Kluyveromyces lactis: one gene and its partners. The protein of the gene in region 1 interacts with the protein of each later gene in a pairwise test. Links are inferred from orthologs where the notes say so. Each region holds a gene or a part of one and is shown on either strand. Other genes may lie near its edges.

Evidence for each region.
Region 2: the proteins of STU2 (region 1) and DAM1 interact in binary tests that used the Saccharomyces cerevisiae proteins (3 or more experiments, as listed by UniProt). The link is inferred for Kluyveromyces lactis from reciprocal best matches to the Saccharomyces cerevisiae genes STU2 and DAM1.
Region 3: the proteins of STU2 (region 1) and UBC9 interact in a two-hybrid assay, tested with the Saccharomyces cerevisiae proteins (2 studies listed by BioGRID). The link is inferred for Kluyveromyces lactis from reciprocal best matches to the Saccharomyces cerevisiae genes STU2 and UBC9.

What each region holds. Positions count from the first base shown.
Region 1 is NC_006041.1:1,460,478-1,464,563, forward strand, and holds STU2 (Stu2p), read right to left. Parts: upstream 2,871-4,086; coding exon 372-2,870; downstream 1-371. Other genes in the region: thioredoxin TRX2, read left to right, coding at 3,440-3,754; SER2 (phosphoserine phosphatase), read right to left, coding at 3,822-4,086.
Region 2 is NC_006038.1:999,343-1,002,108, forward strand, and holds DAM1 (Dam1p), read right to left. Parts: upstream 1,490-2,766; coding exon 548-1,489; downstream 1-547. Other genes in the region: cytochrome oxidase assembly protein SHY1, read right to left, coding at 1,973-2,766. UniProt on the Saccharomyces cerevisiae protein: Component of the DASH complex that connects microtubules with kinetochores and couples microtubule depolymerisation to chromosome movement; it is involved in retrieving kinetochores to the spindle poles before their re-orientation on the spindle in early mitosis and allows microtubule depolymerization to pull chromosomes apart and resist detachment during anaphase.
Region 3 is NC_006041.1:441,944-444,466, forward strand, and holds UBC9 (E2 SUMO-conjugating protein UBC9), read left to right. Parts: upstream 1-1,502; coding exon 1,503-1,976; downstream 1,977-2,523. Other genes in the region: PEX19 (Pex19p), read right to left, coding at 256-1,158; SYO1 (Syo1p), read right to left, coding at 2,319-2,523. UniProt on the Saccharomyces cerevisiae protein: E2 ubiquitin-like--protein ligase mediating SUMO/Smt3 attachment to septins and PCNA. Seems to be involved in degradation of S- (CLB5) and M-phase cyclins (CLB2).

The DNA.
Region 1 (4,086 bases):
AAAAATCGCATCAACTGATCCGAGGAATCATCAGTGGGAACGACGTGCATGGAAAAGAAACGTGCTGAGAGTGATGGGCTTAGTTGCCGTTATTTGCATTTTGAAATGCATATAACGGTGTATCTTCCCTCTAGTTGCATATCTGGAATATCTGACGATTTTCGGAGAATTTTGGAGAAAAAGAAACTTTTCGGAAAAACTAGGAGGCTGCACCAGAGATAAGCAGAGAGAAGACGTTGCTATATATTACCCGGGACAATATATGCATTCTAGGTCATGTGACTGGAAGCTTCCCTCTCTGGTTGTCATGTCGGAGTTTGCGCTCAATTCGTCGTTTATACAGGAATCTATTTTGTACATAGTGGATTCTCTTAATCTACGCCGAGATTGTTGAAACCGGACCTGGATTTGGCCCTCATTCTTTCTATACGTGCCTTTAATTGGTTCGTAACTTCTGCAGCTCGTTTCCACGATTCCTCTTGCAACATATGGTTGTTCAAGTTTAGGGAATTGACACGTCTAGGTAGATCGTCGCTACTTTCACTAGGCGATCTGACCCTTTGAGGAGTCGTAGCATTTTTAGTAGATCTCAGAGGTGATAAGGTAGTTGCTGTTAATCTTCCTCTGCTAATGGACGAGGATATGGGTGAATCTGTTGACATGGTATCGGAAGTACCGCCCGTCAGTTTACTCTCTAACTCCTTGATCTTTAAATTCTTAGCGTTCAATTGATCCTTCGAATCCTGCAATTGCCTTTGTAAATTGGAAACGTATGTCTCAGACTCGTTCAAGAGTTTATTTACTTTGGAAAGTTGTAAATTGGATTGATTTAAGTTGGATAAGAGATCGTTGCGCTCCCTTAGCCATTCTTGTCTCTCTTGTCTTAATTTGTTCACTTCATCGTTTAAATGTGACATTCTGTTGGATATGTTTGTCTGTGGTGTGAAATTGCCAGAGAGGCTTGTGTTGGAACTGGTATTAGATTTGGGTTGTGTTGAGGAAGGCAGATCCGTATGGTTCATCATTTGATGAGTAGTTAGAGACCTTGAAGTCAACCTGGACGACTTCGTGTTGCCATTCAAGGCAGAGTTACGTGCCGGTTTCAATGGAGAAGTGGCCAGTCGTTTTGAAGGGATCGTTGAAGACAAGGGTTGGGATCGTACTACTGGTGCCGCTGATCTTAATTGGGTTTGCGGTTGGGTTTGGTGTGGAGGTGGAACCGTTGCCGCCTTGATCTCCACTTTATCAACAAGTTCAAGGATCTTCTTCCTTTTCAAGTTATCGAGCTTGTCCAAATATGTTGATAGTTCTCTTTCATCGAATATCTTAATTAAGATAGCAATACACTTGAAACCCTCATTTCTTGTTGCCTGTTGATTGTCGTTTACAATGGGCTGCAAAGAATTGAGTATCGCTGGCAAATTGGAGAATACCGACGTTCTATGAAGAGTTTCAGTCGGTGTCCAATTGGATAGCAACTCGAAAAGAAATTTCGAGCATACAATTTTTACCTGTGGTACTTTGTTCTTCATGTGTTGTAACACAGACTCGAGACATAGCTCTAATTTATAGTACTTTGAAAGGTTCAGGAGAGCATTGAAAATAGAATCTGCGACGTTTGGTTTTTTCTCCTTTGATCTAGTTAGGAGAGCGTTTAAAGTTTCCAATGCGAATGGGTTATATTCTGATCTTAATGCGGATATTAGTATATCTAAACTGCTGGTAGATATTTGTACTGCTTGTAGGTTTGCATCGGAAGTGATAGTCGAGCAAAATTTGTGAATGATTTCAGAATGATCTTCATTTGATGCTGACAATTTTTTAACCTTGGTTAAAGTCTGATCGTGGAACTCTTCTAAAGCTTCCACTCTATCCTTCCATTTGCTAGACGCCAAACTCTGATAGAAATTATTCGGTAGCTTATCTAATATAGTTTGTACGGGGAACATATCATATGGATCGATTGATTGGTTATCCAGAGCAGCGGCAGACTGGCCGTTATTACCTGCCATTGCTAGATCTCCGTCATGATCCAAGGGTAAATCAGTTGAATTGTTATCACTCTGAGCCGGGACTGCCCATATAAACTGAGACGGTGTTGAAGAAGGCGGTATAGTGCCCTGGTACGATTCAAACAGTTTATCCAGGTCCTTCTGTTGTATGGGCTTCAACTTCCCCAATAGAAGCTCTTGAAGTACAGGTTTATTAAACCATGTATATAGTTGTAAAATCAACTGCATTGACTCATTCCTCACAGATTTATCCGCATGTGAGCAAAGTTTAGGTAAAACTTCCACTAGACCCTGTAACGATTGCATCTTCTCCTGTTGAGAAACGTTCACGAACCCAAACTGCTCTATCAACTTTACATGAACCATTAACGCTGCAGTCAACAGCTTCGGTAATTTTTTGGTCCAAATCGGCGTCAGACAATTGATTGCATTTACGATATTATCATCCAATGACACGACAAGCGAAACGCAGGCCAATGAAGCCTCTTTCGTCGCTGATTTCGAGGAAGTCATACCTTTCTCCACCAGAGCTGGAACCCAGCCCTGAACCAATTGACCCGGCTGACACAAATCTCTGATCTGGGGTACGTCGATCATAAATTTCAACAAACTGTACAAGGCCTTAACGGCAGATTCTTGTGCAACAACATTGGAATCCAATACGTACCCCGTGAAAATCTCAGGTTTCTTCCAATACTTATTAACGCCACTCTCTGCAACTCTAGCAACGGACAGTTTATTGAATGTGCTTTCTAGCTCATTATATCCATGCTGTCTTGCCTTCCAAAGCTTATGAACAAGTCTCTCATCTAGTGACAGAGTCTGAAAAGACGCCGAATCATCCGTAGCGTTATCCATGGGAGATATACACACGCGATACAGCTGGCAGCACCCTGTGTTGACTCACTGACCGTCTATTTTATTCATGTTGTCTCGTCTGTTTGTTTGTTTACTGGTTGATTTTGATTGTTTTTGTTTACAGAAACGATTGATTTCAAGTCATGTGATATATCACGTGACTTTGTTGATATGCTTTGGATCGGGTTTGCAGAAACCTGAATAATGGGAGGGTAGGATCTATTATACACGTACACGCCCCTCCAATCACTCAATCGGCGCTGATGCGTGTTGGTTGAACATTATACAGTCAATTCAAGCCATTCAAAACACCGTTACACGAGTGTTGGCGCTTCCACCTGCTTACAAATGGACGGGTTCTAGCTGATTCCAGCTCTCGATTCCTGATTAGCAAGCAAAAATTTGTCAAAAACTCGATATTTAACCAACATTATTATATAAAGGAAGTAAGATACATTTAAAGGTTATTTAGTTGTCTCTTCGATTGATTATCGGATAATCTGATAACTTTCTATCCTCATCAAATAAGGTACAATTTATCTTTACTATCCCCTCCAATTTCATATATAATGGTCGCTCAACTTACTTCCGCATCCGAATTCGAAAAGGCTTTGACTGACGACAAGTTGGTCGTCGTCGACTTCTTTGCCACCTGGTGTGGTCCATGCAAGATGATTGCCCCAATGTTGGAAAAGTTCGCTAAGGAATACGAGGGTAAAGCTACCTTCTTGAAGGTTGACGTTGATGAGTTGCCAGATGTTGCAAAGAACAACGATGTCAGTGCTATGCCAACCCTAGTTTTCTTCAAGTCCGGTAAGGAAATTTCTAGAGTCCTAGGTGCTAACTTGGCTGCTATCAAGCAAACCATTGCTGCTAACGTGTAAAATTTTTTGTACACTGCTTATAATATACATTTTACTATATATATATCAGAATAAATTCTTTACATTTCTATTCTTTGATCATGGTTTCTATCTCCTTCTCAGTGTGCCCCAGGATGTATAGGACGTCTATCATTGTATCACTGTTTAACTTACATGGGGCTTGTTCTTGGACCTTTGGCTTGGCGTTCCATGCGATTCCGAACCCAGCTGCGGCCATTGCGTTCAAATCATTACCACCATCTCCGACCATGACGGTGGATTCGATCGGAGAATTGTACTGTTCTGCAAGAGCCACCAACGTCTTGGCCTTGCGCACTCCGTCAACTATATCG
Region 2 (2,766 bases), on another chromosome or scaffold:
TCTTTTCTTCGTCAATCGCTTCCCAATACGTGAATGAACAAAGAGTTAAAATCAACAAAAAAACATCAATGTTTCTGGTGTGTAACCGTCAGCAGCTAGAATGGAACTGATCAAGATGTATGGCTAAACACTTATATGCCACTTTCTTATATTTAAAATGTACAACCAATACCTTCTCAAAATCTTCTCATCTCATTCTTTATGTTAGCTCTTTCATTGATTTATGTTCTCTGTAACTTCGGTCATTTTTCTTCACAGAATTCCTTGCAGAATGAAATGAAGAGGGCGGCCTTTATTTGCTCAATAAGCTCAACTCGAATAAAAGTAAATCGAACGAGACTTCACTTGAAACGAGAACGTTCATGTATCACTGATAAGCGGTAAGAGCAGCCTCATAGAGCACTTCAATCTTTACTGAGTACCTTCAGTAATTTTTTTTTCTTCATTTTGTTAACTGACGTTGTAATATTACATTGTTTGGTAGATATACACACGGTATGAATATGTATCTAGAAAAAAGCTCTGGTAAGAAGTATCAAATAACTCGTTACCTGAAAGGAGGCCTGCTTGCAAGGTTTTTTGGATTATAGGTTCTCTGTCTTGTTCTTACAACTCTATTCGGTAGAGCGGGCTCTGTATTTGTAGATTCACGATTAGCAGAAGAGGCAGAGCCAGCGGTAGTCGATGATCCTGCCAAGATAGGAATTCTTTTTGCACTGACTGCTAGTGATCTTTTTCTTTCTCCAGGAGTAATACCTGTTAGTGTATTAGGTATAGTGCCTATTGCAGCGTTGTTTCGTATTTGATGTAGAATGGATCTTCTTCTGAGTTTCGATGACGCGGAGCCTACCGTTTGTTTTCCCATAAAGTCAGTTGAAGCTCCTACTGAAGATATCATTTGAGGTTTGAAAGTAGTTGGGTTGGATACAAACGAAGCGGCTGTGTTATCTTCGTCATCGTTAATGTCAATGTTAACATTCGAGCTTGCAGTAGAACCTGGCACATTTTCATCACGATACAACATCTGAGAACCTCGTGATAAAGGTTGTCTTGAAAGAGGTAATATGCTTCCTTTGGTAAGTTCCTTTGGCTTGAGTTTCGCCTGTAGTGCTTGTCTTTCTTGTTTCAACTCTTCTAGTCTTTGGATTAATTTCAATTCATGCGGAGTATCATGAGATATGTTCGGGAAATCAACACACCAAGAGTTACACATCAATCCGTATAATAAAGCGCTTAGAGCCTCATTTAAATCCGCTATCGATTCATGAATGAAATTCATGTGCGTCATGTTACCATCGAGTGTTACCATCGAGTCCGAAAGTTCCTGTAATTGTGGGAGCACGTATTTTTCAATCATTGTTTGATTTGACGCATGCTGATCTCGACCGTTGTTGCCTAAACTAGATCTTCTTGAGCTTGCATTAGATGACAAAGATAGTCTATATTCAGTTGGCCTGTCCCGCTGTGGAGTATTTGGCCTTTGAGACATATCTTATGAGCAGATGAATCCAGCAGTTTTATGTTGAGTTTGGAATAGTGCCAAGTAGCCCTGAGAATTTAAGATGAAAGGTCAAAAAAAAAAAAAACAAGTAATGAATTTACCTCAGACTGTCTATGAGATGTCAAATTAGATACCAGGTTGCCCAAAGAGACACTATCGCATTCCGTCTGTCTGCTTGGAGACACCTTACTGTTCGTGTTTTTGTTTTGCTTTACTTTATTTACGTTTTCGATTTTCGATGTACAAGTATTTCAACGATAGTTAGTTAGTATTCATCAACAGGAATGAAAATCATTCAAAATAGCTATAATAGTATTTACAGGTACAAACAAGGTTGATACTACTATGTGTTTAGTAATTAACTGCTTGAATATAATTTATTGGAATTTGAGTATCTCGAATACTAGAAAATTGAAGGAAATGATGGGATCGAGATAGAAATTCCTGAGAATATCAATATGTGTTTCTTTATCACATGAACTTCTTGGCATGTTTTAGCTTTTGCCTCTTTATTTCATCCTGTGACATAGCGGAACCACGACCACGTCTTAGTGCAATGATAAGGAAGATAGATGAAAGCAGAGATAACCCATACCAAGTAATTAAATATTGTAAATGATTATTCTTCAAATCAATCTTTGGTGCTTTACCAATAGGCACTCCCGCTTTAACGAATTGGAACTCGTTAAATTCCAATCCTGTCTCCGAATCTGCTGTATTTACTTTCTTCGTGTTGACGTGTGGTTTCTCGGATTCTTCTTGTTGTGGTTCTGTTTCGGTTTTCTTTTTAGACCAGAATTTCCAAGATGATTGGTTTTTGTTATCGATACCCTCAGATTTTGATTCTTCATCCCAATGGTGATCTTTCAGATCGTAAAGAGCTTGGTAATGAATAGGAGAAGTATGTGTCATCTCTGTCATATCCTTAATATCCAAGACTTGCCACAATCTACTCTCCCTGTCTTCCTTCTTCCATTGCATTGATGTCAAATCTTTAGCTGCACGCACTAACACTGTAATTGTCACGTTATCGCCTTGAGGTAAAGACAAATGTTGCAAGTTACGAGATGATGGAACGATTTTCTCCTCCGAGATCCAACCACGTTCAATCAAAATTCTTTCTCCCGTATCCTTTCTGATGAAAGGCGTATATAAAACGTACCCCTTGATCCCTCCTCTAACACGGGGGCCGACAAAAATCTCTTCATCATGCAAGAATCTACCGGTCATAGTACACTTGCGGTATTCCCAGTCTTCGCACATAT
Region 3 (2,523 bases), about 1.0 Mb from region 1:
GAGATACTCAGAAGAGTGCACTGTCCCGTATACCTTATGGCAAAAAGTTGTCACATATATTCAATCTTGCATAGTATATTGGTTATTATTGGTTTAGAGCTAGTCTCGTGATTTCAGTCCTCAATATGAATTTCAAAGTCGAAAAGAGAAAAATAGCCATATTATTCGAATATCATACTAATAGGCAAAGAGTGAAAGAAATAGAATAATAGTTTATTATGATTAAATATTATATTATGAGCTCATATACACATTTTATTGCTGTTTGCAGGTATCTTCAAGGTCTTTGTCGATGTTACCTAGATTTTCATCTCCTTGTATTTCCAGCATCTTGGCTAATTCTGACATATCGTTTCCAGGATCGTTACTAGTTCCCTTTGCAACCGGTGAGTCACCGAGTTGCTCTAGTTCATCCAATAGATCTGCGATCTCAGCATGGTACTTTTCATTCGTATAATCATCGCTTTCGAATACACCGATGATCTGATTCACAAGTGCATACTGTTTCTTGTAGTTATCAATCTTGTCGCTGTGTTCGGGGTCTTCTTCGTGTAATCCCATCCACTCGGTGAATTCTCCCTGCATTTGTTTCATCGGCTGATATAGCACTTCTTTAGAAGACATTTGTGAAAGCATTTTCAAAATGGCATTGTCCATTCCTTCTCCGTCCGTACCGTTGCCATCGCCGTTTTCCACTAGTTGATCTAGCAATTGGGAAAGAATATCGTCTGAGTTCTGATTTTTCTTCTCTTCCTCCAAACTTTCATCCACTTTCGTAGAATTTTCTTTCAATCTATCTAGGGTGTTGGAAATGATATTCTTGAAACCAGTACCGCTCTTCAATTGCTCCTGAACGTGTTTTACACTGTTATGGTCTTTCTCCTTCGATGCATCTCCAAGTACAGTTAGCAATGTCTCGAAATTCTGAACCATTTCTTGGTCAGTATCACCGCCTTCCTGCTGCATCAATTGTTGGAACTGTTTCTGCAAATCTTCCATCATCTCGACTACTTCTGGATCATCGCTCTGCGTAGCAGGCTCACCCTTAGTAACTGCCTCATTTGGAACAGTTTCTTGTTTTTCCTGTTCATCCAGTTTGCGTGGATCCTCTAAATAGTCATCCAAATCATCAAATTCGTCAACTTTGTTGTCTGACATCGTTTGTCGAAGTATCTGATTACTATCCGTTGAAATTTTGGTGGTGCGTAGCCCTTACTATTAATTATACCTCAGTTAAGGTTTCTTTAGTCACTGTCAATTCTGAAAAATATCACTTTTTCTTCAAAACACTATTGATGCTTTTTCTACAATATCAAAATCATCTTCAAAATCACAAACAAAAAGACGTATCGCACGGAATATCATATCCTCCAATTATTCAACAACGGTAAATCTGAGTTAAGGCTCTATTTACAACAGGGCGCAACGTACCTTAATATATTTACGGTATCTGTATATTAAAGCGACTCGACGATCAGAACGGCCGAATAATATAAACAGTCATGAGTAGTCTTTGTCTACAGAGGTTACAAGAGGAGAGAAAGAAGTGGAGAAAAGATCATCCTTATGGGTTCTTTGCCAAACCAACTAAAAAGACAGATGGATCTATGAACTTGCAGAAATGGGAGGCTGGTATCCCTGGAAGAGACGGCACTCTCTGGAAAAATGGTCTTTATCCTTTGACCATTGAATATCCTGATGACTATCCGTCAAAACCTCCTAAAGTGAAATTTCCAGCAGGATTTTATCACCCTAATGTTTATCCCAGTGGAACCATTTGCTTATCAATCTTGAACGAAGATCAGGACTGGAGACCTGCTATCACCTTGAAACAACTCTTACTTGGTGTACAGGATCTTTTGGATTCTCCGAACCCTAACTCACCTGCGCAAGAGCCAGCTTGGAGAGCTTTCTCGAAAAACATTAAGGAATATGAGAGGAAAGTCTCAGAACAAGCTCTTAGGTATACCAAGTGATACCTCCATAATACAACTTCGGAAGTAAACCATTTACTGACAGAGAAAATGCAAATACGCAGATGACGGCAGATATCAACTTGCGGGAAACCCTGGGCCTTCCCCAGCGTAAAGCGCAAATCAAATAAATTTGCTGTATTCTATGGCTCGATTTATTCTACGGTGTTGACCATTGTTATATGGCTGTATAGAGATATATCATAGGATGGAACGATCCAGTAGGTGTATAGTTCTCGTGTAAAATTTAAAATTAATATCAAGAATAATGCTAATGAATACTTGATTTATTCAATTATTTTGTATTTTACTATTATCAGGTGTAGACTGTATATATTTATTGTTTTATTTGTTACGTTCATTTTGTTTGTATGCAATAAAACTATCCAATGTAGAAAAGCAATCCTGACATCTTTCTTTCAGTTGAGGATCTTTGTTCTTGTCAACAAACTTGAAAACATTCTTCAAATTTAATGAAACCTGTGTTTGAAGTATCGAAAGATAGTTCAAGTTTACAAATACTGGTTCATCGTAATCAAAGTTCATGTCT